Stegostoma tigrinum: one gene and its partners. The protein of the gene in region 4 interacts with the protein of the main gene of each other region in a pairwise test. Links are inferred from orthologs where the notes say so. Each region holds a gene or a part of one and is shown on either strand. Other genes may lie near its edges. The genes, in order: amotl2a, protein bicaudal D homolog 2-like, cep70 and mfap1.

The links.
Region 1: the proteins of mfap1 (region 4) and amotl2a interact in binary tests that used the Homo sapiens proteins (3 or more experiments, as listed by UniProt). The two-hybrid records come from large-scale screens. The link is inferred for Stegostoma tigrinum from reciprocal best matches to the Homo sapiens genes MFAP1 and AMOTL2.
Region 2: the proteins of mfap1 (region 4) and protein bicaudal D homolog 2-like interact in binary tests that used the Homo sapiens proteins (3 or more experiments, as listed by UniProt). The link is inferred for Stegostoma tigrinum from reciprocal best matches to the Homo sapiens genes MFAP1 and BICD2.
Region 3: the proteins of mfap1 (region 4) and cep70 interact in binary tests that used the Homo sapiens proteins (3 or more experiments, as listed by UniProt). The two-hybrid records come from large-scale screens. The link is inferred for Stegostoma tigrinum from reciprocal best matches to the Homo sapiens genes MFAP1 and CEP70.

Annotation. Positions count from the first base shown.
Region 1 is NC_081367.1:1,412,515-1,420,934, forward strand, and holds the start of amotl2a (angiomotin-like 2a), read right to left. Parts: upstream 3,476-8,420; 5' UTR 3,214-3,475; intron 3,079-3,213; exon of another isoform or gene 2,722-3,078; intron 1,287-2,721; exon of another isoform or gene 1,181-1,286; intron 359-1,180; 5' UTR 335-358; coding exon 1-334. UniProt on the Homo sapiens protein: Regulates the translocation of phosphorylated SRC to peripheral cell-matrix adhesion sites. Required for proper architecture of actin filaments.
Region 2 is NC_081364.1:29,078,303-29,085,756, forward strand, and holds the start of protein bicaudal D homolog 2-like, read right to left. Parts: upstream 3,455-7,454; 5' UTR 3,158-3,454; coding exon 2,942-3,157; intron 1-2,941. UniProt on the Homo sapiens protein: Acts as an adapter protein linking the dynein motor complex to various cargos and converts dynein from a non-processive to a highly processive motor in the presence of dynactin.
Region 3 is NC_081360.1:66,673,249-66,680,868, reverse strand, and holds the start of cep70 (centrosomal protein of 70 kDa), read right to left. Parts: upstream 3,554-7,620; 5' UTR 3,209-3,553; intron 3,043-3,208; exon of another isoform or gene 2,917-3,042; intron 1-2,916.
Region 4 is NC_081389.1:22,688,565-22,696,634, forward strand, and holds the start of mfap1 (microfibrillar-associated protein 1), read left to right. Parts: upstream 1-4,853; 5' UTR 4,854-4,938; coding exon 4,939-5,020; intron 5,021-6,627; coding exon 6,628-6,844; intron 6,845-8,070. UniProt on the Homo sapiens protein: Involved in pre-mRNA splicing as a component of the spliceosome.

The DNA of each region.
Region 1 (8,420 bases), on a different chromosome or scaffold from region 4:
CCAGGAGCTCAGATTGGGCTTTGGCTTCTTCATAAGATGGGAGTTCTTCTCCATTGAACTGAAGCTGGTGTAGGCGATGTAGCAGGTTTTCTGAGTGAGCATGGTCACCCTGGTGTTCTTGACCCTGTGGCTCCTGCCGGGTAGAATGCTGGACAATTTGACACTCCTCCTGAGTGAGGCTTTCCAAAGAGGACTGGGGACTGCTGGATCCTCCCCTCATTGCCTGTTGCTGGATAGCCAGCAATGTGCGATTATCCGTAAGGTTCCCATAACGCAACTGTTCCTGGATCAGTCTGTGTAGGACCGTACCTGACGAGTCTTCTGCTGTTCTCATTGTAGCTCAGATAATGGTTAGATCCTAAAACACAAAACAGGTAATGAATTCCAAACATCACAGACACACACACACTATACATGTATACACATTTGATATCAAACAATGAGATCCGTCAATTAATTGTTACATACTTCATAGAACCCATAAGGTCAGGAGGCCATTCAGCCCATTATGCTTGTGTCAACTCTTCAGATGAGTTTCAGTTTCAGCCCCTTTGCTTTCACACAGTCCTGAAAATCGTTTCCTTTTGGAAATTATTTTTTGAAAGTTCTTGAAGCTAACTCCATTACCCTTTCAGGCAGATAATAAAAAGTTGCTTTTTTCAAATATTCTCCACCAAGATTCTTTTACCACTCGCTATGAACCTGTGTCCTCTAGTTATCCAGCTTTGTTGCCAATGGGAACACTTCAACTCCCCAAAACAAAAACCTTTATCATTTTAACAACCTGTCAAATAGTCCCTTTACCTTCTCTGACTAACAATCCCAGCTTCTTCAATCTCTCCACATAACAAGTGTTCTTTGCCTTGATACTATTCTAATAAATCTCCCTTGCATCCTCAATCTACCAAATTCAATACATTTTTTATACCAATTAAGTCTTGAAATCAATTGTAACATTGCAAAACTACACATGCCCATTGAATTCTCAGTGCAGTAAGTTTGTGAAATGGGCACAATGAGTGATTTACAGGCAAGCACAGGACTCTATATCGTACAGTGTTTCTTTCAAGCTCGAACAGTATGTGCACAACTTGCCAACACTTACTCCCCCTCGTCCTCAGCAAAAATACTGAAGTTATTTCCAAGAAAATGACACAGGATACAATCTAGCAGCACTAACCCTGTCACATTGCGTTCCAGAGCCTGCCCCAGCCAAATGCTGCCCACATGCATGCCCCTGGGAACTGTTTCCCTGGTGACAGCACGTCAGGCTGCAACAACAGCTATCCAGGCTCAGGGTAGTTGTTTTATCATCACAAGATAATGGCATGAATTTGAGGAATGTCAGACATTAAATTGTGAGTATGAAATGACTATTGCAAGAATCTGGCGGGGGGGGGGTGGAAAATGGAGTTGGGGATTGGCTGCTGAGACGTTGAGCAATTGTTAGCCTGAATATCCTGTGGGAAACTTCCACAATAAGTTGTGAAATTTAAAGATCGTGAGTGATTTCTTCTCAAAGCCCCTACATTTAAAACCGCCTGTGTTTTATCTGATCCTAAATCTTTAACTATATCAGACAACATGTTGTAAAACTCACAACATAGGTGAGAAATTCATTTTAAATTTTAAATCTTGTTTGACAGGAATTTGGAATGGATTATTAAAAAAACATGTAAAGGAGGGTCTGCACGACCACTGGACTACAGTCACAAAGATTTTTGAAACGATTTGAGGCAATGCTGGCAGTAATGAAAGCACAAAATCACTTAGTCCATTGTGAGAATGGATGGGTGATCAAGAGTGAAGAGATCCCATTATTCCTCCAATTTAGATGTGTTTCTGATTTTACTCCAGATCAACAGAATTTCAGGCCACTCTCATAAACCCTGCCTCAAAATTGCAAGTGTTTTTTCCAGCTAAAATGCCAATAATAATTATTACCATTTCTAACCATTCAAACTTGCAGGAAACAGATCTGGTCCCAAAATACATTTGCAGAAGGTGAAAAAAGCAGATCATCAGATATTAATAGTTGATACACAAATAAAGGTATATTTTGAAAAGTTGGGCTACTTTTTTTAATGTATGGCTTTCCCTGAATGGGGCCACTAACAAAATACAACAGACTTGCAAATGGAACTGAATTCCTGCAAATTTCCAAAACAATAGCTCATTCACTAACCTGCAACATCCTGGGGCAAAACATGCATTCCACAACAATGTGAAAACATCTTTCAATCCACTACTGCACTCAACTCAAAAGTCTGCTCATTTCACTCTCCAGCACTAATCCATCATCCCATATATTTTCAATATTCTTCAAAAATCTCTAATGTTAAACATAAAAAGATTTTCTTGCCATTAACATCTGTAAGGATTATTGAAGAATTTCAGCGTAACAATTGCATCAGAGATTGCAGCATGTCAAAGAGCCTAATTGTTTACGAACTTAATTATTATTTGATAAAGTTCTCTCCCATCTGTAAAGTTTACAGTAAACTAAGTTTTTTTGTTCTCTTATAAACGGTAATAACATAAAGGTACACTTTATTTTTTGCACTATAATATAATTACTAATACAGAGAGATTTTATAATCTATAATCTTTCATACAAAAGTAAATATTACAATACAATATTGCATTCTAAAATCTTTACCACCTTGGGGTGAATATTACAATCCTTATCTTCACTATAGCGTGAACATTATAACTCATTACCTTTACCAACACTGGGTGAAAATTACGATCCGAAATCTTTACCAACTCTGGGTGAAAATTACAATTCGAAATCTTTACCAACACTGGGTGAAAATTTGAATCTGAAATCTTTAGCAACACGGGAAGAATATTTCAGTCTAATCGTGACTAAGTCGGCGTATATTTCCTTCACTGGCTCCTTTTGGCTGGCACATTCCTGTTGAGTGAGCTCAGCAGCCAGTAGGCTGTGTGACGGAGATCAGCTCACGCCGGCACTGGGAGAAACGGCTCGGGGAGGCGGACAGTTTCCGGCTGAGACCTGTGAAAATGCGGCTGCTCACACCCGTAAGGCGAGCAAATAACTCTCCCGTGAGCAGATGAACCCGGGGGAAGCACTCGGAACAGGTCGCACCTTCTCCAGACTATTCGGCAGGCTCGAGTGTGAAATCCGTTCGAGCTTGTCCCCAAAAGGCTGAACAGACACTATAATAGAATGAGAAATGGGAGACTGACCTGGAGTGGGGTTTTTCACATCAGGGACAGAGTCCTAGCTCTGCCTCAAGCTCAGATTTCGGTGCTGGAAGTGACCGTGGTGTGGGAACTGGGAACCGGACAGCCCTAGCCGCCTGTTTGCTTGCTCGCTATGGAATGGCAAGATCCCAGCTGCAGCCGGGGCGATGCAGCAGCGGCAGGAATGTCAGGAATGCGCGTTCCTGGCTCTATCAAAGGCAGCTCCTACCGCACACCAAGACTCAACCTGCAGAGGGCACACACAATGAGCAAACAGTTCAATCTCACGGCACAGCACAGAGTGATAACACTGCGGAAAATACCATCTAAACTGGGGGGTGGGGGGCGATGCTGGAGAAACTCAAACAGCAGCTTGCATTGACACCGGAGCGATGGATATCTGGGACTCTTCTCCTTCCCAATCCCGGGGGCTATGCAATCTTTAAGCCCTCAAAGTAGATGAATTGAAGTTGAGTTTATTTAAAAGCATGGAACAAAAACAAAGTTGCTGGAAAAGCTCAGAACACATTGCCGTGTGGAAGGGTCACCGGACCCGAAACGTTAACTCTTTTTTTCTCCTCCACAGATGCTGCCAGACCTGCTGAGCGTTTCCAGCAACGTTTTTGTTTCCGATTTACAGCTTCCGCAATTCTTTTGGTTCTTATTTAACAGCATACCGCAGAAGATAATAAATACGACAAAGAAGAGCTGGCGAGTGGCACTTACTGGTCCGATACTCACATTTCAAAGCGGAGCTCCAATATCACCAGTATGGAGATTTGCACTGGGGAGAGAGACAACAAAGGATAAATGGGGATGTGGGACACAGTTCCATCACCCAGCAGGCAATGGGCAAACATATTGGAGGTCGAATGGTCTCACTAAACTTCAGGAGCGGATGTAAAACGGCCAGTCAAGTCTGCTCCACTTTTCCATAAGGTCATGGCTGATCTGATAAATCCTTAGCACACTTTCCCACCTTTGCCCCATAACCCTCCATTCCCTTGCTAATTAAACAGCTGTCTATCTCAGCCTTGATGATCTGGCCTCCACTGCCTCTGTGGCAAAGAATTCCACCATTCATCAACCTCCCAGAGAAAAGAAATCCTTATCTCTGCCTTAAAAGGGAGACCCCCTTCTTCATAGATGATCCCCTCTAGTGGTAGACTCTCCTACGAGGGGGAACAATCTCTCCATGCTTCCCCCAGCAAGTCTCTTAGAAATCTTATATGTTTCAATAATTTCACCTCTCATGTTTCTAAATTCGAATGAATCCAGGCCCAACTTATTCAGCCTCTCCTCAAATGACAGTCCCTCAACAACGAGGAGGGAGCCTTCTCTGGACTGGAGGGTATGCCTCTGTATCCTGCCTTAGAGAAGAGGACCAAACTGCTCACAGTATTCCAGCTGTGGTCTGACTCCCCTTTTTAAATACCTTGCTTTGAAATAATGGCCAACATTCCATTTGCCTTTCCTATCACTAGCTGAATTTGGATGCTAACCTTTTGTGATTCATAGCTGAAGACTTCCTCTGTTCTGTAGCTTTCTGCAATCTTTCTCCATTTAAACAATATTCAGCTCGCCTATACTTCCTGCCAAAGTGCATAACCTCACATTTCCCCACATTATATTCCCTCTGACAAGATTTTGCCCACACTTAACCTGTATGTATCCCTTCGCAAACTCTTTGCATCATCCTCACCACTTCCTTTCCCAACTATTTTGTGTCATCTGCAAATGTGTCTATAATATATTTACTTCCCTCAACCAAGTCATCAATTCACATTGTAAATATTTGTGGGTCCAGCTCTGATCCCTGTGGCACACTAGTTAGAGTTTTGTCATTCTGAAATCCCCTCTTTATCCCATCTCTTCAGTAAAATTTCAATTCCCACTTCTTTCACCAGACCTGAACACCAACTGGCAGGAATCACCCTGATTCCAGGTTGTTTAAGTCACTACTAAAAGGACCAAGAAATTCTCTTTGCCCAGATCCAAAATCAAAATGTTATGAATCAAGCAATTAAAACATATAATCATAAAATTAGAAATGAGTTGCCTTGACTCCAGGGATTGGATTGTCAAAGAGTAACAGTGCCTGAGTTGAAGATGTACAGGCTAGTTAAAGAGGAATAAATATTAGTACAGGTTCTCAGTGATACCACAGAGTACCAAAATACAGCTAGTGCAGATTAGTTGTTGGCAGGAGCACAGTTCATGTCATTGGATTACTGTATTGGAGAGTGGGGTGTTTTGGCTGCTTGGCAAGAGCTCAAAGAAAGTTCAAAAAATGTCTGTCCATAGAGACAGGTTTTATAGACTGCCTTGCCTGCCATTGAGATACCAGTCCAGAGTACCTCAGACATCGGATGTCTACACATACACCATCCCTGAGGCAGCTTGCTCCTTATAGAATCTCTACAGTGTGGAAGCAGGACATTCTTCCCATCAAGTCCACAAACATCCTCTGAAGAGCATGCCACCCATTCACTTATCCCTATCCTGTGGGCCATTTCCAATGGCCAATCCACCTGCACATCTTTGGACTGTGGGAGGAAATTGGAGTGCCCGGATGAAACCCACACAGACATGGGGTGAATGTGCAAAGTCCACACAGACTGTTGTCTGCGGATGGAATCCTGGCTCCCTGGCACTGAGCCATTGTGCCATTCACAGTTTTTGTATGGATTTTTAAACATCAGTGACTCTACAGTTTTGATTACTCTTACTGTCTCTTTGTTCAACTGATGATGGAGTGGTTTGATGCCTTTCTCCAAAGTGGCAGAGAAACTACAGAAAGTTGCGAGCTCAGAGCTAGGATGGAAAGAAACCTTAGGGGATGCTTTGCCTAGTACAGAAGAGATGACTGAATTAGTAGAGGCTGCCAAATGGATCTCTTCAGTCTTTGTAATAGAAAGTCATGAGTGCTTCATGTTGGAGGTGAGGGTGGAAGGAACAGGACAGCAATGTTTACCAAGATATTCAGTGGTGAAGACAAGGAGCTTTCCATTTCTTGTGTCTTCCTGGATATGTCAGCATTTTTAGTGATGAAGCAAGGTGAAATGATGTTGTATATGGTTCAGTCAGATCTGAAGGTGAATGATAATCATGGGGGTATTAGATAAATGGTTTTGTGGAAGCAGATGTGACTCCAGCATGGTGTGTTGTCTCCCTGGTGCCAGGATCAAAGGTATTCTGAAGAGTGTGGGAGAACACTATAGTCAATATCAGTAACCAAGACCATAGGCAAAAAGAGAAATATGATCCTTCAAGCAGAATACAGGGAGCTGGGAAATACATTCAAACAGTCGGAACACAAATATAGCAATCTTGGGATTACTCCCAGTACCACATATGAGCAGGATTGGAAATAGGAGAATAGAATATTTGAATGAATGACTTGGCATGAAGAAAGTGGTGTAGGAGGGAGAGATTTAGATCCTGAGGCATTGGAATTGGTATCTCGGGAACTGTACAAGCTGGACAGGTTGCATATCAGCAGGAACACAAACAATGTCATTGTAACAGAATTTGCTATCATTGTCATGGATGAGAATGAGAAAGGCTGGGAACTTGATCAGGGATACAAGAATGAAAGTTAGAAACATAGAACTTGAAAATGGAAGACAGAAGAATGAGATCTAGCAGTTGTGCCATAATCATAGCCACACAGTCATAAAGATGTACAGCATAGAAATAGACCTATTGGTCCAACTCACCCCTGCCATCAAGATATCCTAAATCAATCTAGTCCCATTTGCTAGCATTTGGCCCATATCCCTCTAAACCCTTCCTATTCATGAATCCATCCAGATGCCTTTTAAATGTTGTAATTGTACCAGCCTTCACCACTTCCTCTGGCAGCTCATTCCAAATACACACCACCATCTGCATGAAAAAGTTGCCCCTCAGGTTCTTTCTAAATCTTTCTCCTCTCTTGCTAAACCTATGCCGTCTAGTTTTGGACTTACCTAGCCTGGGGAAAAGACCTTGGCTAATCAGCCTATCCATGCCCCACATGTTTTTACAAACCTTTAGAAGGGCAGCCCTCAGTCTCTGACACACCAGGGAATAAAGCTCCAGCCAATTCAGGCTCTCTCAATAGCTCAAACCCTCCAATCCCTGCAACATACTTGTAAATCTTTTCTGAACCTTTTCAAGTTTAACAACACCATTCCTACAATAGGAAGATCAGAATTAATCACAGTATTCCAATAGTGGCCAAGTAAATGACCTGTACAGCTGCAGCATGAGCTCCCAACTCCTATATTCAGTGGTTTGACCAATGAAGCCAAGCATGCCTTGTCCACCACCCAGCCTACTTGTGGCTCCACTTCCATGGTACTTTGTTCAGCAACACTGCCCAGGGCCCAAATGTTACCTGTATAAGTCCTGCCTTGGTTTGCCTTACCAAAATGCAAAACATCACATTTATCTAAATTGAACTCCATCTGTCACTGCCATTAGCCCATCTGATCAAAATCCTGTTGTTATCTGAGATATTCCTCTTCACGGTCAACTCTACCACTAATTTTGGTGCCATCTGCAAAGTTATTAACCATACCTCCTAGGCTCACCTCCAAATCATCTATATAAATGACAAAAATCAGTGGTCCCAGCACTGATCCTTGTGGCACACGACTGGTTTCACACCCCTATTCCTAAAACCAACCTCCACTACAATGCTCTCTCTTCCATCTTCAAGCCAATTTTGTATTCAAATGACTAGTTCTCTCTGTATTCCATTTGATCTAACCTTACTAACCAATCTATCATGCAGAACCTTGTCGAACACCTTACTGAAGTCCAATATCTTCCACTCTGCCTTTGTTAATCTTCTTTGTCACTTCTTCAAAAAGCTTAATCAAGTTAGTGATACATAATTTCCTATGCGTAAGTTCATGTTGACTATTCCTAATGAGTCCTTGTCCTTCCAAATGCATGTTAAATCCTGTTCCTCAGAATCCTGCCTAACAACCTACCCATCACTGATGTCAGGCTTACCAATCTATAGATAACACAGTGCGGAGCTGGAGGAACAGAGCAGGCCAGGCATCATCAGAGGAGCAGGAAAGTTGATGCTGTGTTCCTCCAGCCCATACTGCGTTATCTCTGACACCAGCATTGGCAGTTCGTACTATCTGTTGTCAGTCTATAGTTCTCTGGCTTTTCGTTACCACCTTTCATAGTTAAATGTTTGGAACTGACTC
Region 2 (7,454 bases), on a different chromosome or scaffold from region 4:
GTCATTGTCCACGGGAATAGCGCCAGAAGACTGGAGGATAGCAAATGTTGTCCCCTTGTTCAAGAAAGGGAATAGAGACAACCCTGGTTATTATAGACCAGTGAACCTTACTTTGGTTATGGGTAAAGTGTTGGAGACGATTATAAGAGATAGGATTTATAATCATCCAGAAAGGAATAATTCGATGAGGGACAGTCAACACTGTTTTGTGAAGGGTAGGTTGTGCTTCACAAACCTTATTGAGTTCTTGGAGAAGGTGACCAAACAAGTGGATGAGGGTAAAGCGGTTGATGCGGTGTATACGGATTTCAGTAAAGCGTTTGATAAGGCTCCCCACAGTAGGCTATTGAAGAAAATACGGAGGCATGAGATTGAGGGCGATTTAGCAGTTTGGATCAGAAATTGGCTAGCTGTAAGACGACAGTGGTGATTGATGGGAAATGTTCATCCTGGAGTTCAGTTACTAGTGGTGTAACGCAAGGATCTGTTTTGGGGCCACTACATTTTATAAATGACCTGGATGAGGGCATAGAAGAATGGGTTAGTAAATTTGCAGATGACATTAAAGTCGGTGGAGTTGTGGACAGTGCGGAAGGATGTTGCAGGTTACAGAGGGACATAGATAAGCTGCAGACATGGACTGAGAGGTGGCAAATGGAGTTTAATGTGGAAAAGTGAGAGGTGATTTACTGTGGAAGGAGTAACAAGAATACAGAGTACTGGGCTAACGGTAAGATTCTTGGCAGTGTGGATGAGCAGAGAGATCAGTAAGGGTGTGGAATTCCCTGCCTGCAACAGCAGTCAACTCTCCAACTTAAAAGGGCATTTAAATTGTCACTGGATAAACATATGGATGATAGTGGAATAGTGTAGGTTAGATGGGCTTCAGATTGGTTTCACAGGTCGGTGCAACATTGAGGGCCGAAGCGCCTGTACTGCACTGTACTGTTCAATGTGCTACCTGTGGGCCAGAATGTCTGGGTTCAAGTTCCACCTGCTCCGGAGGCGTCATGATAGATCTGAATGGGTTGATTAAAAATATCCAGTGACCCTTCCCATTTTCCACACAACCTGTAATAAATGTGAAGGAATTATCTAACGAAATGTTAAAAAGATAAAAAAAACTGTGTTATATTCCATAGTATCTTCTGTTGAGTAATTTATTATTTACAGCAGAAAAAGTTTAAATCACTCATTGAAAAAATATCTTTTCAAATCCTTGAGATTGCAAAGTTCATTTTTAACTTTGCTTAATAGAACAAATTTGCAGAGAAATGATCTCTTTAGATTTCCATAAATATCAGTTAGACCTGAGTTTGTGAAGGTGAATACAAGTCCTTTCATGTATCTTTCTTGTCTTAGAAGTCCAATATGCCATTTCTGATCCTTTCCTGCATATATCAAACTAAAACTACTTGCTTGATTTGTAACTGAAATGTTTAAACATTAAAATTTGAAGACAGCAGTTTTCCCACCCAATGTCATTCAGACCCATAAATATCAGCTCAATTAAAGAATATGAAAATAAACACTCAAAAGCCTCATATCCCACGTAATACTGAGAGAAATATTGAAACTTCCAGTACATACAATTAACATGACTTGCAAACGTTAACATATTTCCTTCAAACACAGTATGACATTACAATGCTTTGACGTTTCATTAAACCGATAATTTATTATTCAAATGCTCTAAACAGCTCACATTTGAAAATCTCAATCCGAATGTTATCCTAATGAAATAATACATTTTCTTCATTATGAAAATGCTCCACAATCCAGATTGAGATTTGATTTTTAATCAATTTAACATAAACTTGTAAAAAGATGTGCTCTATAGATGTAGTTATATCCACAAACTGACCTTTTCCAAAACAGAAATTGAAGTCTATTATCGATTTGAACCAAAAAAAAGTCAATAATAGTTAAAACCAAAAGAAATCTTCATTCTAGAATGTAATTGATTCAATTTTGTATCAGCATGCTGTATCAACCAAGCAGGCAAGCTAAGCATGACTTTCCCAATGAGTCACTAATCTAATCCAGAATTCTGAAAGGAGGCGTCAAGTCAAATCCAGTGATGTCTTGAGTGGGGAAAAAAACATACAACCCAAAGACAAGCAATGATTCACATCTCATAAGTATTTCATTTTACAAGGCAGTTACAGAATGTCTGCATATGAGGAGCACTTTACCTTCATGTACTGTGATAGTACAATATTGTATATCTAAACATTTTCTTTCCGGTCTGAACATCTTAGTCACTAGATGTATTAAACTAGTTTGGCTCAACAGTCTAGTCCTGCCCAACATATTTTATGCAATTTCTTCGTGCCAAAGATTCGTGGAAATATTTTCTCTTGAGAATTTTTTTAGGTCTTGTCAAAGCGTTATTAAAACAAAACTTATCTTACAATTTTGCATTGTCTGGCCATTTGACTGGCCATCAAACTCTAATTAGCTGATTTACCTAGTTTGTACATTTGACTTATGCCGAGGGGGAAGTGTTTTTTTTAAATCTAGTGGCCTCTGCTTGATGGATCTCTGACCATGCTTCCCGTGGATCTAACAGTGGTCACTAATCCGATCTATGACAATCTGCTGAAAGATGAGGACAAAGGGATTCCTCCACTGCGAGAATTCATACAGTTACAGTAGGGGATTCAACGGTACGAACAAGCCACTGTGAGCCATTTGGCACAGCACAACAACTATTATTGAGCAGTGAGGTGGCAGATGCTGGGAGCTGCTGCTTGAATCTGTCAACGGTCAGACGCTCTTGGGCAATGGGTGGGTCTTCGGTCAGTTTTTTTTTGAAGAATCCAACCAATACATTTTAAGCAAATGATTAACTTATTTTTAAAACAAAACCGTCTGTACAAAAATCGGGATCGAGATTTGGTGATATTATTATCCTTTTTCCTTGCTCAATAAGCCTCACCTCTCGGAGCTGCTCCAACTCCTGTCTGACTGTCTCATACTCGCCCTCCAGATCCTCATACTGTTGTTTGAGGCTCTGCTTCTCCTCCAACACCACCAGCCCGTACTCGGCCGCCTGGATCTTCTCCTGGGTTGTTTCGCTCAGCTCCCGGTTCAGCCGCTCGACCTCAGTCCGCAGGAAACTCTCGCTCTCCATCAGTGGCTCCTCCGCCTGCATGGCGCCGCCGCCCGCTCGCTCGCTTCTCGGCCGGCCAATTCGGTCCGGATCCCGGGTCAGCTGAGTTAAAACGGGGTCCTCGCTGCCTTGGCCACCATAGCTTCACCCGGCTGGCCCACCGGCCAGGCAGCGAAACTCAGCCTGAAGGAGGGGGTGGAAAATGAAGGCGACCAAGTGCGAAAGACAGAGAACGCTTCCCCCAACGTCTCCGTTCTGCCGGCTCCTGGGTCTGCTACTCCTGTCTCCGCCCCGTTAGGCTGCTCCCCTCCTCCACCATCCCGTCGCCATTGCCGCTGACATTCCTTCCCAGCTGCTGACGTCAGCTCCTTCCCCACAGACAAGGAGCCGCTTGAGGACACTGCGTGGTCCCCACACCCTGTGTTCTATACAGTTTATCATACACCCTGTAATCTATCCAATAAACTATACACCCTGTAATCTATACACTATATCATACACACTAAAATATATACAGTAAATCATACACCTAATTTATTCAATACATCATACCCCTTGTAATCTATACAGTCTCTTATTCACCGTGTAATCTAAAATACTGTGCAATATATACGAAATATACATCCTATTTCTGATGTGATAATGGGAACTGCAGATGCTGGAGAATCCGAGATAACAAAGTGTGGAGTTGGATGAACACAGCAGGCCAAGCAGCATCTCAGGAGCACAAAAGCTGACGTTTTGGGCCTAGACCCTTCATCAGAGAGGGGGATGGGGAGAGGGAACTGGAATAAATAGGGAGAGAGGGGGAGGTGGACCAAACATGGAGAGACAAGGGAGTTGCAGTGGGAGAGAGATTCCCTGAGGTTGGTCCAGAGGGAGGAGGGTAACTTCTTCAGCTTAGGCATCCCTGGAAGAGGCTTCGCAGTGAGGTTAAAATTGTATCAGTGATAATGGGAACTGCAGATGCATCCTATTTCTCATACCTGTAATATATTGTGTAGTGTTTATAATATATCATACATCATACATCCTGCAATCAATGCAGTAAATCATACACCTTGTCATATACACAATGTATCTCATACCCTGTAATATATAGTGTAGTATACATAACATACATCATACATCTTGTAATATATATTGTATATATAATATATCATATAACCTACAATATATACAATATAATACATATAATGTATCATACACCCTGTGATATATAAATATAAAATATACAATATATTATATACCCTGTAAAACACAATATACTATGTATAACATAAAACACACCATGTAATATACCCACCATATTATACACAATCTACATAACCCCGTAACATACACATTTATGAAGAAGGATCCCAAACTGAAACATAAGCTTTCCTGCTCTGCTGATGTTCCCTGGCCTGCTGTGTTCCTCTAGCTCCGCACTTTGTTATTGCTGGCACCCATACCATATTTAAAAGGATGCTGTGAATCTGGACAATCACTATAATTCCGAAGCTGCTTTATCCGGTGACAGTCAGTTTGAACACATTGGAAAAATGTAAGCTGCAGGCCTGAGGTATAACTAAGATTTTGTATTTTGCTGTATAAGAAGATGAATACCCCATTGACTGAGGACTGCTGCCATCAAAGCAAGCTGCCTGGCTGTGGAGCTGGGCTGAGGCAAGGCAAGGCAGGACACCGATACTTTGAGAACCCAGGTGAACAAGTTCTTAGAAAGCAAGCCGGCAGCCTTAAGATGCAGCCTTTGCCCAGCCTGTGAGCTGAGTGCCTGTCCCTGCAGCAGCCTTTCAATACCAGTTGCCGGTGTGCTATGTAATGCAAGTCTGTGCTTCCTGAGTGACCTGCAAGTGTATTGGGATGCCACAATAGTTTATAGACGTTTTCAGGTAGAGCCAGCTCTGAAGAAGGGTCACCAGACCTGAAACGCTAACTCTGATTTTCTCTTCACAGAAGCTGCCAGACATGTTGAGTTTTCCAGCAACTTGTGTTTTTGTACCAAACTACACTAATCCCATTATAACAAAGTGTGAAGCTGGATGAACACAGCAGGCCAAGCAGCATCTCAGGAGCACAAAAGCTGACGTTTCGGGCCAAGACCCTTCATCAGAGGCTCTGTTATTGCTATGTGTTCAAACTGACTGTCACCGGGTAAAGCAGCTTCAGAATTATAGTGATTGACCAGATTCACAGCATCCTTTTAAATATGGTATGGGTGCCAGCAATAACAGAGGCTCTGATGAAGGGTCTCGGCCTGAAACGTCAGCTTTTGTGCTCCTGAGATGCTGCTTGGCCTGCTGTGTTCATCCAGCTCCACACTTTGTTATCTTGGATTCTCCAGCATCTGCAGTTCCCATTATCACTGATACACTAATCCCATTGTTCTGTGCTTCGTCCATTGCCTTCTGTGCCTTGGCATTTTAAGTGCACATCCAGATGTTTCTTAAATGGTGCAATAGTATATGCCTCCTCCAACCTCTAAAGCAGCATGTTCCATATTTCTACCACCCTCTGGAAGAAATAAAGTTTCCTCAGATCCCCCTTAATGAATTACTCCTCACTTTAAACATGCTGTATGCCCTCTGATTGTAAACACATCTACGATGGGGAGAGAATTCTCACAATCTATCCTGTCTATGCCTCTCATAACCTTGTCACTTCGATCAGATCCCCCTCAGCCTCCTCTGTTTCTGCCCCAAGGAAAACAAGCACGCCCTATTCAGTGTCTCCTCATAACTGAGATTTTCCATCCCAGGCAACATCCTGGTAAATCTCCTCTGCACCCTCTCCAATGCAATCACACCCTTCCAATAATGTGGCACCAGAATGCAGGATTCCTTCTGTGGCCTAATAAATGTTTATAAAATTGTAACAAGACCTACTTGCTCCTCTCTTCTATGCTTCAGCTAATAAAGATCAGCATCCCCTATGCTTTCTTTATCATCCTGTCTATTTGTGCTAATGCCTTCAAGGGATCCGAAGCTGCAACACTGTATTCCTCACGCTGTTCTATTACTGTTATGCACTTTGTAATGTATCATCTGCCTGTACTGCAGGTAAACACAACTTTTCACTGTAGCTAGGTACATGTGACAATAATTAATCAAAATCAAACCAAATCAAATCTATTGACTTAGACGCCAATGTCCTTTTTTCCCTCAGCAGTCCCCATGGATCTACCATTCATTGTGTATATCCTACGCTTATTAGATCACCCAAAGTGCAGCATTTATCACATTAAATTCCAACGGCCATTGCTCTACCCAATTTACCAGCTGACCATATCAGATTGTAGCCTGACACCATCCTTCTCATTATTAACAAAATGTCCATTTTTTTGTGTCATCTACAAATTCACTCATTATACCTTCTATGTTCACATCCAAGTTGTTAATGTGCATAACAAACAGCTATTGTCCCAGCACCAAACCCAGTGATGTGCTGCTGATCACTAGCTTCCAATTATGAAACCAACCTACCACTGTCACTCTTTGCCTCCAATTTGTGAACCAATTTTGCATCCAGTTTGCCAACTTGTCTAGGATACCATGGACTCCTACGTTTTGGCTTGCCTTCCATGTGGGACCTTGTCAAAGGCCTTATAGAAGTCCACGTATACCACATCAACTTTGTTACCCTCATCAATATATTTAGTCACCTTTTCAAAAAATTCAACTAAATTAGTCAGACACGATATCCTTCCAACAAGTTCATGCCGATCATCCCTGATCTATCCCTGCCTTTCCAAATGCCAATAAATCCTGTCTCCTGAAATATTTTCTCATTATTTCCCTACCACCGATATCTGATTGGATGATCTGCAATTACCTGGCCTTCTTAAACAAAAGAACCACATTATCTATTCTCCAGTTATCTGGCACTTTACCTGTTGGTAGCAAAGTAATAAATATCTCATTCCAGGGCATCAGCAATCTTCTCGCTTACCCCAACGAAGCAGCCTGTCATACATTGCATCAGGCCTTGGGGATTTACATACCTTTATACCTGCTAAACTTCCACCTTCTTTTTCTTAACATGCTATAGAACCTCACCATTCCAACTGAAATATCCAGCTACATTGTCTTTAACCTTTGTGAAACAGATGGTAAATATTCAATTAAGACCTCACCCATGTCTTCTGGCTCCATGCACAGATTTTTCCTTTGGTCTCTACTAGAGTCCCCTCTTTCCCTGGTAATCCTCTTACTGTTAGTATAGAATATATTTATAAAATGCCTTGGGATTTTCTTTAATTCTATCTGCCAAAGATATTTCATGGCCCCTCTTTGGCTTCCTAATTTATTTTTAAAGCCACCCTCCCACACTGTCTGTG
Region 3 (7,620 bases), on a different chromosome or scaffold from region 4:
AATCAGTAATGCAACTCCCCCAGTCCTTTGTATCACTCTTTAACATGCATGAAACGTCTAAATCCTGTAATGTTGAACTGCCAGTACCGAACTTCACTCAAACAAGTTTCAACATTGTAGTTCCTTTTACTAATCCAGTTCTCCAAGTTCATCTGCCTTAACTATTATGCTCCTTGAAATAAGTACACTTCAGGCTGCCACTCTGATCTAGTTCAATAACCTTGTCAGGCCTGCTCTTCCTATTCAAGTGACTTACACTGCACTGATTCCCAATTCCTTGCAGCACTAGCTTAAACCCTCACGAGTGGCACTTGCGAACTTCCCCGCAAGAATATTGGTACCCCTCTAGTTTAGGGGCAACAGGTCCTTCTTGTATCCATCTCTCCTGCGCTGAAAGAGATCCCAACGATGCAGAACACTGATGCCCTCCTTCCTACACCAGCTCCTCAGCCACGCATTCAACCACATTATCTTTCAAAACTTCTGGCCTCACTAGCAAATGGTACAGGGTGTAGTCCAGAGATTACAATGCTAGAAGTCCTGCTCTTCGTTTTTCTATCTTATTCCTTAAACTTTCTTTGCAGGACCTCATCTCTCTTCCTGCTTCTGCCGTTGGTACCAATATGGACCATGATCTCTGACTGCTCACCCTTCCGTTTCAGAATGTTATGTGCCCACTTAGAGCCATTCTCAAACCTTGCACCAGAGAGGCAACATATCATCCAGAAGCCTTGCTCATGGCCAGAGAAACATCTGTGAACGAGACTACAGAGTCTCCTATTACAACCACTCACCTAAACTTCGATCCTCCCTGTTGTACAACAGAGTCAATCATGGTGCCACTGTCCTAACTGCTGCAGTTGCTATCCTGAAAGAGCCCATATCTTCCCTCCCCACAACCCACTAATATCCAAACTAATATACTTCTTTGACAGATGAATAGCTACAGTGGATTCGTACAATTCCTGCCTGCCCCTCCTGGCAAACACATCAGTGACTGAACCTTTGTTTTGGCCATATCCCAAAACTTATAGCTATAAAACTTTCTGCCTCCAGTATACTTCGCAATGAGTCCAACTACTGCTCCAACCCATCCACAAAGTTCAAGAGGAGCTGCAAGGTGGACACAGTTGTCAGGGATACATGACCTCTCCCAGATCTCTCAGGGGGTGCATACCACTCCAACTTCCATTACTACCCCTCTGGAAATTACTAGATTAAAAAGGAAAAAGGAAAGACTTGACCTTGCTGCATCTTAATGTTACTTGCCCTCATTACAAAAGCCCACACGTTGAACTCAAGCTCACAGCCCTTCTCCAAAGCGGCCACTCCCACAAGAGCTCACTTTCCTTTAATATGCTACCAGTAGGAAGGGAAAGTTGGTCTCTTACATGTCCCTGAGATAATGGGAACTGCAGATGCTGGAGAATCCAAGGTAACAAAGTGTGGAGCTGGATGAACACAGCAGGCCAAGCAGCATCTCAGGAGCACAAAAGCTGTCGTTTTGGGCCTAGACCCTTCATCAGAGGGGGTCTGATGAAGGGTCTAGGCCCGAAACGTCAGCTTTTGTGCTCCTGAGATGCTGCTTGACCTGCAGTGTTCATCCAGCTCCACACTTTGTTTTAAAAAAGTCAGGGACATATAAGAGAACAACGAGCCTCTGTTGGATGCTCTTCCCCTTTTTTAAGCACAGATTCCTATTGTACGTGAACTCCTGTTCAGATACAAAGCAACACAAAATGTGATATCTTCAGTTTTTGCCTTGTTACAAACTTCAGTTTTCTGGTCATCACAGTCTCCATCTTCACAACAAGCATTTCTAACTATCTCAATCATTTTTCTAACCTCTGCACTGCATCTGTCATCTTCTGTCTTCGTTTGTCCTAAGTAGCCAATTTAAGTAATTATTTCAGGTAACAACATTCATTTCATTCTGGTTTCTTTCAATGTACTCATTTTTAAACAATCATTCTATTGCCTTTTTGGTATACACACAATGAATATTCTGAATTTATAGATTTTACTTGATATTTTGTTAGCCCACATCCAGTTCTGCAAGCAGCAATGTGCTCATCAGCACACAAGATTAGTTATTGCTTCTGATTAATCCTAAACACTTGTTCTGTAAATAAATTGAACAATAATGTGGTTTACAACACTTTTCCTTTTACTCAAAATGCATTTCATTGCTTCTTTGTAGGCCAGTGTTCACTACTTAGAACCTCTCCAGACTTTGGATTCTTATCTTCATTATCAATATCACATTTCAGCAAGATAACAAAGCGTGTAGCGGGATGAACACAGCAGGCCAAGCAGCATTTCAGGATCACAAAAGCTGACATTTCAGACCTAGACCCTTCATCAGACCCGCTCTGATGAAGGGTCTAGGCCCAAAACGACAGCTTTTGTGCTCCTGAGATACTGCTTGGCCTGCTGTGTTCATCCAGCTCCACACTTTGTTATCTCGGATTCTCCAGCATCTGCAGTTCCCATTATCTCTGATCATATTTCAGCAACATGTCTATTACCTTTTTTTGGGCGATAAACATGATCAAACACTTTTTCATATTCTATGAAGTACATGTCATTTTTAAAATAGCAAATATATGCATATCTTATTCACAGACAGGCCACAGCCACAAAGCAGAGATGACATGAGTTGTCGGATCTGCAGACTGAAAAATCTGTAAATGATAAGTAGGAGAAACGGTTCGTTGCAGTTATCAACGGAGAGCAAGTAAGAGTGTACATACTCAGAAATAGTAACAGAAAATGCTGGCAACGTTCAGCTGGATCAAACAACCTGAGTGAAAGCTGTGTGAATATCGAAATATTGAATCAATGACTGTACCTCAATTACTACTTCAAACCACTAGCAGAATAATATTTCGGCCAATATCGTCGCTTAATACATACCAATTCTCCACCTTACTGTATCTACAGTTTCAAAAATGAATGAACGCCTCCCTCCGGTCTCTTCTTTCTAATACGCAACCGCCGTTAACCCACCCTCCACAGGCCGAGCTGTTCAACAGCCGGACATTCGGCGGGAGGGGAGACCCCACCACAAAGCGATACGGGGGGGGGGAGCAAATTACAGTTATTCCATATTATCAACATCGTTTTTTTTTTCAAAAAAAGGTTTACTACAACTTTTCCAATATTACCACAAACAAATTCAAACCGTTTCCAAAACACACATACTTACTGCTTAGCTTCTTTATCATCGTCAATAATTTCAATCGCCTTTATCAGCTTCTCCCTTTCCCTCAAGATGATACGCTCCCATGGGCAGAGCCAACCCCCTGAACGTCGACGCGCAAGGTAACCGCACCCTCAAGTACAAATTAGCCACTCAGGTTACATACAGAGAAAAAACCAATCAGAAAGCAGGAAATAAACAAATCGGAGATAATGGGAACTGCAGATGCTGGAGAATCTAAGATAATAAAGTGTGAAGCTGGATGAACACAGCAGGCCAAGCAGCATCCCAGGAGCGCAAAAGCTGACGTTTCGGGCCTGGACCCTTCATCAGAGGATGAATAAACAAATCGGATCGGTGGGAGTTAGCCAATGAAATCACATGCAATGAACCAATCGGATTAGCCAATCGGATTAGGGAACGCGAACGGGGATTCTTCCCGTTGGAGCGGGAGAGAGGTGAGTGTTTTCGCGAGATCTGGTCTGCGCAGCAGTGGAGGGAGTTAGGGGAAAATGTGTATTTTGTGTGCACGACTATCCTGACGGCTGTGTTTACTGCTGAAGGTGTCAGATGCAAATCAGGCAGCGATCCGGGGTTTTCCTTGGATATCTATGTGAAGAACACGGCCGCTGTCGCGAGGAAGGTTGTGGCTGCGAGTTGCCATAGTTACGGTCGGTGTTGGCCAGACGCGGAGGAGCTCAGAGCTAATAAATAACAGGTGGCCTTTAAATTTTCCTTTAGAAACATTGTGATTCCTGCTCAGTCTAAGATTAAACTTTACCTTCCTATTTTAGAGTTAATTTTTAAGTCCCTTATCGAAGTCATTAGTGCTGTAAACTGGGATTAATGTAGATAACAAAAGTGTGGAGCTGGATGAGCACAGCAGGTCAACCAGCACATTAGGAGCACAAGAGCTGACGTTTCGGGCCTAGACCCTTCATCAAAAAAGTAGATTCTGTTCTGAGGAAGGGTCACCGGACCCGAAACGCTAATTCTGTTTTTTTATTTCCTTCACAGATGTTGCTAGACCTGCTAAGCTTTTCCAACCACTTTGTTTTTGTTCCTGACATACAGCATCGGCAGTTCTTCTGGTTTCTATTTAGTATTTTTTTTAGAGCAGATCACACATGGCTGTCTCCTGACATTTTAATGAAGTAACAAGTCATTGTTTATCGCTGAACTTACTAAATTCCAGGTGGTCCAACTAGTTGAAGGCGTTTAAAGCAAATATATTCAGTCAGTATTTACCAACCGTTTCATAGGCTAGAATAAAATATACTCATGATTGTAATCAGTGTTTAGGACGGCATCTTAACGAGTAAAGCAAATGAAGTAAATAACTACCAATATCAGAGATAACAAGGTGTAGAGCTGGATGAACACAGCTGGCCAAGCAGCATCAGAGGAGCAGGAAGGCTGACGTTTCAGGCCTAGACCCTTCTTCAGAATTCTCCAGCATCTGCAGTCCCTACTATCTTAGAAACAATTTTAACCACCAATGTCACTTCAAGTGTTCATCTAAGTTTTTTTTTAAGAATGGGAGTTTAATCACCTCAGCCAGCCTTCTAGGCAGCGCACTCCAGATCCTCTGCCCTCCGCGCAAAATAAAAATTTCCCCAAGTCTCCTCCAGACCTCCCACCTTTCACTCAAAAGTGTCCCATGATTTAGTGTTTATTTTAAACTAAAATTTCTTTAATTGTGAACGAATACTTCTTCCAAAGCAAGTGGCTTATTATATGACCAGAGATGCAGGAGTAGGTGTTGTTCCTTTGCTTTACTGATTAGCAACCAGAGCAATAGCCACAGAAAATCTATCGCTGGACCACAGTAATACCACAGCAGATGCCAAGGTAGCTGAAACTGTACTTAAGAATGTTCTTAAGATAATTCAAAAGAAGTGTTTGGCATTTTTTCATTATTAGAGGCTTGCAGAGCAAATCCAGAGTGAAGTGAGTTAACACAGAAAGCTAACATTGAGGCTGCCGGAGTTCTAGACTGTTTATGTACTACAAGCAAAGTTTTGATGACAAAGTCTGAATGGTTGTTCATCAAATATCTGCCCAGATATCATAAGAAAAAAATGCACATGGAGTTCCTATGACAGGGCATATAGGAATACAGAAAACACAGGCATTGAAACATAGATAATTTACATGGTCAAGATTTCATATGTATCAGATGGTAGAAAAACCTCACCATGAAATCAAACCAGCAGCATTGATAGCCAAGCTGTTTTTTTTTAAAGAACGATTTAGTTGAGTGTTAGTAGATTGTGTAGGACTATTATCACAAACAAAAGCAGGTTAACAGTCTATCCTTAAAGTTCTGGTTAGGAAGGATTTTATCAAATTGGAGAGGGTTCGGAAAATATTTAGCAAGATATTGCTTGGAATGAGGGGGTTTCAGTTATAGAAATATGCTGGGACTTCTTTCACAAGAGCATAGGAGGTTGAGGGGTGACCTTGTAGAGGTTTATAAAATCATTAGACTCAAAGAAAATGTGTATAGCAAAGGTCTTTTCACTAAGGTGGGTGAATTCAAAACTAGGGGGCATATTTTTAAGGTGTGAGGGGAAAGTTTTAGAATGGCGAGGGGCAATTTTTTTTTACACACAGTGGTTTGTGTGTGGAATGAACTGTTAAAGGAAATGGTGAATGCAGGTACAGTTACAGTGTTTAAAAAACATTTGGATAAGTCCTCAACCAACCTTCCAGACCCCACCACAACCCTCTTTACAGGTTGGCATGATGGCTCAGTTGTTAGCACTGCTGCCTCACAGCACCAGGGACCTAGGTTCACTTCCACCCTCGGGTGACTGTCTGTGTCGAGTTTGCACATTCTAGCAGTGTCTGAGTGGGTTTCCCCCGGGTGCTCTGGTTTCCTCCCACAGTCAAAAGACGTGCAAGCTAGGTGGATTGGCTGTGCTAAATTGCCCGTCGTGTTCAGAGATGTGTAGATTAGGTGGGTTATAAGGATAGGTCTGGGTCGGATGCTCTGAGGGTTGGTGTGGACTTGTTAGGCCAAAGGACCTGTTTCCACACTGTAGGGACTTTGAGATGAGATCAGTATATGAATTGGAAAGTTTTGGATGGATGTGGGCCAAATGCAGGCACTAGGACTAATTTAGTTTTGGAATATGATTGGCATTGCCTAATTGGACTGCTGGGTTTGTTTCCATGCTGTTTGACTCTATGAATCTGCAGGATTCTTTACTGCAGAGGACTGTAGAACTGGGTCATCAAGTATGTTCAAGGCTGAGATGGATAGATTTTTCATTAATAAGGCATTCCTGGATTATGGTGAAAAGTTTAGGTGATGGAGTTAAGGATTACAAGATGAGCCATGATTTCATTGAATGATGCAGCAAAATTAAATGGCTGAATAACCTATTTCTGCTCTCAGACTCCTGGTCTTATGGCCATAGATTGGAATACAATTCTGTTAGTTCGAATGCCCGACAGCACCTCATGAATACCCAGTCTTGACGTGCTAGATCTATCTGATCTATCCCATTTCACGTGGTGATTGTGTTACACAGAACAGTGCAAGGTTTATTCAATTTGAAATGGAACTTCGTCTTCACAGAAGACCACCATACCGTGGTCGCTCATACCGATACTGTCATAAACAGATGTATTTGCCACAGTCAGCTTGATGAGGGTGAGGTTAGCGGTGTTTTTCCCTCTTGATTCCCTCACCACCTGCAGCAGATCCAGCCGTGTTCTTGAGGACTTTGTCAGTTTCATCAGTAGTAATACTGCTGAGCAATTCTTGGTAGACATTGAAGTCCCAAACCCACAGAACATTCTTCGCCATAACCATCCTCATTACTTTCTGCAAGTGGTGTTGTACACAAAAGTGTACTGATTCATCTGCTTGGAAGGAGGCAGGGGGAGATCATAGTTGGTAATCAGCAGGATGTTTTGTGCTGATTGTGTTACCATCACACTACACTATGCATCTGTCTTGCCAGTCTATACCCAGGGGTGCTAATGTTCTCTGAAATATGTGTAAGGTGTGATTCCTTGTGAATGTCTTTGTCAGGCTTTTGTTTCATTGGTCTGTGAAACCCTCTCCTGATTTTGGCACAAACCTCCTGGTGTTAGTAAGTAGGATATTGCAGAGTCAACAGGGCTGCATTTACCATTGTAATTTCAGGTACTAAATTCTAGGTGGTCCAACTAGCTTGGCTTTCTAGCAATTTATACAACTGAAGTTGTTATTGATGCAACTGAATGGCTTGATATGCCATTTAGGAAGGCAGTTAAAAGTCATCCATATTGCTATGGGTCTAGACTCACACAGAGGCTATTTTCCTTGTCTAGATATTTGTCAATCCTACAGGTTTTTATACCATTGGTTTTGTGGTCCAGAAATTGGATTGAATTCAAATTTCACCATCCGCTGTGGTGAGATT
Region 4 (8,070 bases):
AAGAGTGTATAATTTGACAAGAAGTTTGTGAGAATTTGACACAGTAATCTACTAGCACCATCTACTGAGAGTAATTCATTATTTCCTGCATGTCTCCCCTGGAGCTTCCTAATCAGTTACTTTCTTGTTTCGCAGATTAGATTAATGCAAAAATCATAGTGTCAGGTTATCACCATAGCCATAAAACCCAAGTCCTAGTCTCTTTGGTTTAGTCAAGACTTCAGCCCATCCAAAATACTTTGAAGTGTTGTCACTGTTCAAATATCTAAACCACAGCAACCAATTCTTGCAAATTGCAATGGTCATGATCAAACAAACTTTCTTCTATTGGGATCAGTATTGGCAAGGACACCAGGAAGAGAACTCCTGCTGCTCTATGAATTGCCAAGATGCTCTGCCTTCTTTCAGAGGCAGAATGGGCCACAATTTAAAAACTCTTCTGAATGTTGGTACCTCCGGCAGCATAGAGTCATACAGCACAGAAACAGACCCTTCGTTCATGCCAACCAGGTTCCCCCAACTAAACTAATCACATTTGCCTGTTTGATCCATATCCCTCCAAACCTTTCCTATTCAAGTACCTGTCCAAATGTCTTTTAAATGCTGTAACTGCACCTGCATCCATCGCTTCCTCTGGCAGCTCATTCCATTTACACACCAGCCTCCGTGTGAAAAGTCACCCCTTGAGTCCCCTTTAAATCTTTCCCTTTGCATCTTAAACTTATGCACTCCAGTTTTGAACTCCCCTACCCTAGGAAAAAGACCTTTGCTATTCACTTATCTATGCCTGTCATGATTTCATAAACCTCTGTAAGGTCACCCCTCAACCTGCTACTCTCCATGGAAAAAGATTCCAGCATATCCAGCCCCTCCCTATTACCCAAACTCTCCGGACCTGGTCACATCCTTATAAATCTTCTCAGTACCCTCTCCAATTTAATAGTGTTCTTCCTATAGCTGGGCAACCAGAACTGTACGCAGTATTCCAAAACTGTCTTCACCAACATCCTGTACAGCCACAACATGACTTTCCAACTCCTATACTCACCACCTGTCTACCAATACCATCACCAACTCTGTAAGTTCTTACTTTGCCTTACCAAAATGCAACGCTTTGCGTTTATCCAAATTAAACTCCATCTGTCACTCCTTAGCCCATTGGCCCGGCTGATCAAGATCCCATTGTATTCTTTAAATAACCATTTTCACTGTCTACTATACCACCAATTTTGGTGTCATCCGCAAACCTACTAACCATGCTTGCTATATTCTCATCCAAATTATTTATGTAAATGACAAACAACAATGGTCCCAGCACCAAACCCTGTAGAAAGACTCACTGGTCACAGGTCTCCAGTCCAGAAAACAACACTCCACCACCACCAATTTTGCGTCCAATTGGCAAGCTGTCCCTGGATCCCATGTGATTGAATGTTACTAAGCAGTCTACCACGCAGAACCTAGTCAAAGGCTTTACTAAAGCCCATATAAGCAATTTCTACTCTCTGGCCACAACGATCTTCTTGGTCGTGTCCTCAACAAACCCAATCAAGTTTGTGAGATGATTTTCCATGCACAAAACCATGCTGACTATTCCTAAGGAGTCTTTGCCTCTCCAAATTCAGGTAAATTCTCTTTCTGAGAATCCCCTCCAGCAACTTAACCACCAGTGACTTCAAGCTCACTGGTCTGTAGTTCTCTAGCTTTTCTTTGCAGCCTTTCTTAAATAAAGACACAAACTTAGACACCCTCCAGTCCTCCGGCACCTCACCCATAGCTATAGATGATGTAAGTATCTCTGCTAGGGAACCTGCAATTTCTTCCCCAGCTTCCCACAATGTTCTAGGTACACTTGATTAGGTCATAGTCATACAACACAGAAACAGACCCTTCAGTCCAACCAGCCCATGCTGAATGTAAACCCAAACTAAACTAGTCCCACCCACCCGCACATAGTCAATATGCCCCTAAACCTTTCATATTCATGTACTTTCCTACGTTATTTTTAAATGTTGTAACTGTGCCCGCATCTGCCACTTCCTCAGGAAGTTCATTCCACATGCAAACCACTCTCTGTGTAAAAAAAATTATCCCTCATGTCTTTTATTAATTCTCTCCTCCCTCACATTAAAAATATGCTCCCTAGTCTTGAAACTCCCTATCCTAAGGACAATGTCTCACAAATGTATCTACCTTTTTGCATTTTCAGACCTTCAGCACCTCTTTTTCTGTAAAGTGAACTATTTTCAAGACGTCATTATTTATTTCCTTAAGTTTTGTCAATTGTATCTATTTTTCTCCAGTAACTACAGTTGTGAAATATTCACTTTGTACCTCTCTCATCTCCTGTGGATCCGCATAAATATGGCCTTGTTGGTCTTAAAGTTTCCTATTCTCTTCCTAGTTGCTCTTGCGCACTTAATGAATTTGTAGCATCTCTTTGGATTCCTTATCTGCCAAAGCTATCCCATATCCTCCTTTTGCTCTCCTGATTTGCTTCAGCCAGCAGGAAGCCTGACAGCTCACTGTTCAACCGCCTTTGGTTCATCATTATCATTATCATCATCATCATTTGTGGTCCCTTGCAGAGAAGGATGACTCTCTTTCAGTCTCAGGGTTTGTATGTAGGTGGCTGTACAGACCACTGCAGCTACCACAGGCTCTATTACACTTGGGTCAGTTAGTGCTCACTCAAAGGGTTGGTGCGACAGCGCTCTCCTTTTGCTGTTTGCACCTGGTTTCCACTTTTTCCCAACGGCAAGTCTCGAGATACTGGGCACCTTCCTGGGTGCCCCTCCTCCATTTTGGCCAGTGATTCCCAGGTGTCTGGGGGAATGCTGTATTTTGTCAGTGAGACCTCAAGGGTAAATGACGTGAAGAGTCATGACGGCTGCCAACTTCTGCCCTTCGATTTTGTATCTGGTGGGGCATGCGACCAGTGAACCCAGAAAAATTGAAGGTGAATGTGCAGTCACAGCAGGGCTCAGAATCACAGGCGTCTCGCTGGTTTGGATTTAATGATGCCTCCCCACATTCCAGTTGTGGAGCAGCCATTAGGCTGTGGCTGTCATGAAAATAGTAGTTTCCACGGGAGACACCATTGCTGCCGTGGGGAAAGCAGTAGCGGTCACTGTGTGTACTATGTAACTGCCGAAGTAGCAGTAGCTGCTACAGTGTGGCCTTTGCGGAGGAGGTCATTATTTGGCTGTATGCAAGGCCACGGTGACCATTAAGAAGGCCACGTTCAGGCTCAGGGTAGGCAGTAATGGCCACATGATAGTTGTTGTAGATGTGGGGTAAGTGATTATTGTGACCGAAGGGAAGGCAATAGCAACAGTGGGGCGGCTATTTTGGATGCAGAGCAGCTACTGCAGCTGTATAAATAGCCATTCTCGCAGCCCAGGTCAAGGGAAGGTGTGAGGTAAGGAGGGTGCAAAGATGAAGTGATGGGTCCCCTTAATCCCCTCAAGGGATTCACTTCATCTATACCTGACATATGCTTCTTATTTTTCTTACTTCCTGAGTACTGGGAAGGTCAGCCGGTCTTTGGTATAAAATCCCATCAGGTAAACTTTGTACTCAGATGCTAATGAGCTAAAATGGAGATGAGCAGAAATATTTTATATTTGGCGGATTTTTATATCTGGAAGACCTGGTGGAGTCAGATTCCACCGAAAGGTTTAAAGGACAATTAGTTGAAGAGGAAAAGTTTACAGGGGAATAAGTGAGCATCTATTAGCACAGTCAGAGTGGGCTGAATAGCCTTTTTCTTTGGTGGAAGGTTCAGCTTGACATTAACAGGTATCTGGATAGCTTCTGAGCTTCTGCATCATCTGAAGATGTGGTAAAGTAGAAAATAGGTGCGGCAAAATGGTTCATTTTTCAGCCAGTGTAAGCAGAATGAGCAGGCTGGTTTCCTTCTGGCTGCCACAGTTCATTTTCTATATGCAGGAAACTTTTTATCGTCTGACACCAAACGGGACCAGGAATGTGCTGATTGGTCAAATATTATAGATAATTAAGAGGTTCACATCATCAATGTAAATGTAATGTGGGGGTATACACATTTTTGGCATAAATTACTTAAATAATAATGTAATTTTGCCTTAAATAAAACTTACCAGCAGACAGCCTTCTCATTTACACCCTCAAATGACTATTGGACAGTGCGGTAGATACAGCCGTAAGGTCGTTGTGCACAAAAACAGAACCTTTGGTCCAATAAGTCAATGCCAACCAGGTATCCTAAGTAAATCTAGTCCCATTAGCCAGCATTTGGCCTATATCCCTTTCAACCCTTCCCATTCATGGACTCATCCAGTTGCCTTTTTGATGTTGTAATTGTACCCAGCTTCACCACTTCCTCTGGCAGCTTATTCCATACATTCCCTCTGCGTGAAAAATGTATCCTCAAGTCCTTTTCAACCCTTTCCTCTCTCATTTAAGAACCGATACGCTGTAGTTTTGGACTGCCCCACCCTAGAAAAAAAGCGCATTGCTACTCACCCTACCCATGCCCCTCATGATTTTATAAACCACTATAAGCCTCAGCCTCTGATGCTCCAGGGAAAATAGCCCCAGCCTGTAAAACGCATCCTTGTAACTGAACCCACAAACCTGGCAACATCCTTGTAAATCTTTTCAGCACCCTTTCAAGATTAATAATATCTTCCCTCAGACAGGGAGACCACAATTGGACACAGTACTCCAGAGGTGGCCCAACCAATGCCCTATACAAGCCCCGCCCATATCCAAACCACGCCCACCTACAAAGCCCCGCCCACACGCGTGACCGGTGCAGTGACGTCAAACGCCAAAGGCATAAATAAGGCGAGTTCCCTGATGAGGTCATCACTCCGCGACTCCTGCCCGCCATCTTGTGGTTGTTGTGTAGGTTGTTTTGTTTGAGTTCGGCCTCTGAAAGCTGCAGCGCGAACCATGGCCGCCCCGCTCAGCCTGAACGCCAAGCAGCCGCCGATTCAGTCCACGGCCGGAGCCGTGCCCGTCCTCAATGAGAAAGGTGAGTGGAACCGAGTCCCCCCAGCCCATCGATACAGTATCCGCACCCCCCCGCGGCTCTCGGTACAGAGACCTCCCCCTCCTCCATCCCCTGGGCTCTTGGAATAAGTAACACCCTGAACCCCCCCCCTACCCCCGGCTGTCGGGACAGAATCTCCCCCCCCCCCCTCCCCGAGCTGTCGGTACAGAATCTCAACCCCCCCCCCCCCCCCCCGAGCTGTCGGTACAGAATCCCGCCCCACCCCCACCCCACCACACCCCACCACCACCCACCACCACCCCACCCCCCCCAACACCCCACCCCCCCCAACACCCCACCCCCCCCAACACCCCACCCCCCCCAACACCCCACCCCCCCCAACACCCCACCCCCCCAACACCCCACCCCCCCCAACACCCCACCCCCCCCAACACCCCACACCCACCAACACCCACCCCACACCCCACCCCCCCACCCCCACACCCCCCCACACCCCCCCACACCCACACCCCCCCACACCCCCCCACACCCCCCCACACCCCCCCACACCCCCCACCACCCCACACCCCCCCACACCCCCCCACACCCCCCACCCGTCGGTACAGAATCCCGCCGCACCCCCCCCCCCCCAGCTGTCAGTACAGAATCCCCCGGCTGTCGGTACAGAGACCTCCCCTCCTCCATCCCCTGGGCTCTTGGAATAAGTAACACCCTCACACCCCCTCCCCCCCCCCCCCCCCCCCCCCACCAGCTGTCGGTACAGGGAGCTACAAACCCCTCCCATGGGCTCTTGGTACAGGAGCACCCACTCCCTCGGGCTTTCAGTGCTGGGGGTGACTGGAATACACAGGGATACAATGATCCAGTGAAAGCTGCATTCTGCTGAAACATTTTTGGTGTGCTATTCAAATTGATGTTCCCTCTAGCCTCAGTGTCCAGCCCCTCCTTCCCCTCAACACCTGTCCCTCATTACTACCTCTTGTGTTCCTTTGGTCCTGACCCTAAAATGAACTGCTGAACCTGGATGAACTTGCTGCATTCCTTCTCTCAGAGCTACATTGATGAACATGTAACTGAGTGTTTACAAGACACAATCTAAAACACACTCAGCCATCTCTGATCCACACAGTGCGACCCCTATCGCTGCACTTGTTCTCAACCATAGTTGAATAAATGCTATGCCCCAATTTCTTTGTGGAATTTCACAGTTTAATTATGGAATTGCATCAGCTACTTGCTGCAGCCCCTGGTTCACCTTATTACCAAATTGCGCCTTAATATCCCTCAAGCAATTTTTCTTCCTTGAGTACCTCACTGTTTTACCCCTCTCAGCCAAACTGCTTGCACCACTTCATTCTTGGTCCACTGCTACCTCTAAGGTGCTCTCCTTCTCTTGACAGTCATACAGCATGGAAACAGAGCCTTCGGTCCAGCCAATCCATGCCAACCACGTTCTCTGTTAAACTCTTCTCTGTGACATCTTGTCCATAGTGCTATTAATCTTTGTCCCGTCTTGGCCAAACTGTAATAGGAGCGCTAGCAACTGGGCTTCTTTGGATCACAATGCTGATGACCCTGTGGTTACTGTAGTAATGGCCTTTGCTGAATGCACCTCCCTTTTGTGCCAGGTGAGGTGTCGATGGAAAAAGTGAAAGTCAAGCGCTATGTCTCTGGTAAGCGACCTGATTATGCGCCAATGGAGTCCTCGGATGAAGAGGAGGAAGACTTCCAGTTTGTGAAGAAGCCAAAGGATGCAGAGGCAGAGCCTGAGGTGCCAGAGGAGCTGGCAAACGACCCTCGTCTGAAACGTCTCCAAAACCGACTCTCTGAGGATGTAGAGGAAAGGTGAGAGAATCTGAAGCTTCTGGTCCTGCCAGGCAAACCCAAGATCATTTTTATGTATGACATACAAAAATTGAAATTGCTGGAGAAATGCAGCTTTGGGAAAGCAGAATCAACATTTTGACTTGTGTCCCTCCTTCAGAAGTCATAATATTGACCCTTTTCTCACCACATGCTGTCAGACCAGCTGAGTTTCTCCAGCTATTCCTATTTTTGTGTTTCAGATCTCAAAGGTCCACCATTCTTTGTTTTATGTTATTTTTATTTGTTTCTGAAAATGACCTGGTTCCTCCCTTAAACGCATTGCCTGATACTGAGCTACATAGATCCTGAAGGGTCTGGATAAAATGTTTGTCCTCAATTGATGGTAATGGGAACTGATCAGTAGTTTCAGTGCCCTTCAGTTAGTGAGAGGACTTAAAAAAAACAGAATTGTTGTTACTAATTAGGAATTGAGCACATAGGCCAAGCTCACATTTTAGCATCAGAGATAATGGGAACTGCAGATGCTGGAGAATCCAAGATAACAAAGTTTGAAGCTGGATGAACACAGCAGGCCAAGCAGCATCTAGACCCTAGGGCCTAGACCCTTCATCCGAAACGTCAGCTTTTGTGCTCCTGAGATGCTGCTTGGCCTGCTGTGTTATTCCAGCCTCACATTTTGTTATCTGACATTTTAGCATGATTGATTTGATTTTTGTTTTAAGCTTTATTGTCACGTGTACTCAAGTACAGAAGTACAGTGAAAATTGTGTAATGCCACCACACATGTCACAATCATAGGTACTTAGGTACAAGTAGTAACATCGATAATACTTTAGTTTTAACTTTATTTTTCTGCTTATACTAAGAACAAAGAGAAACAAAGTGAAAAGTTAACATTGCAGTCCTTCCTGGTATTAAGTCAAAAAAAGGGAACAGAGGTTAAAGTTCAACAGTCTTTCTTATGTGCTGTCCCTACAAGGGCTCAGTCTCCTTTGCTTTGGACCACTCTCTGGGAAACCTCAGGCTTCCTCAATGCTATTGATAAATGGCACTTCAGATGCTGCAGTCCTCTTTCAAATGCAATGTTTAACCAAATCCCATTTGCCATCTCAAGGAATGTCAAAGATCCTGCAGTATTCTTTCCTGGTGTCCTGGACAGAATTCATGCCTCAAACGAAATAACTGAGAAAACAGACTAACTGCTGATTTATTTTGTTGCTGCAACCTAAACAAGTGATTACATT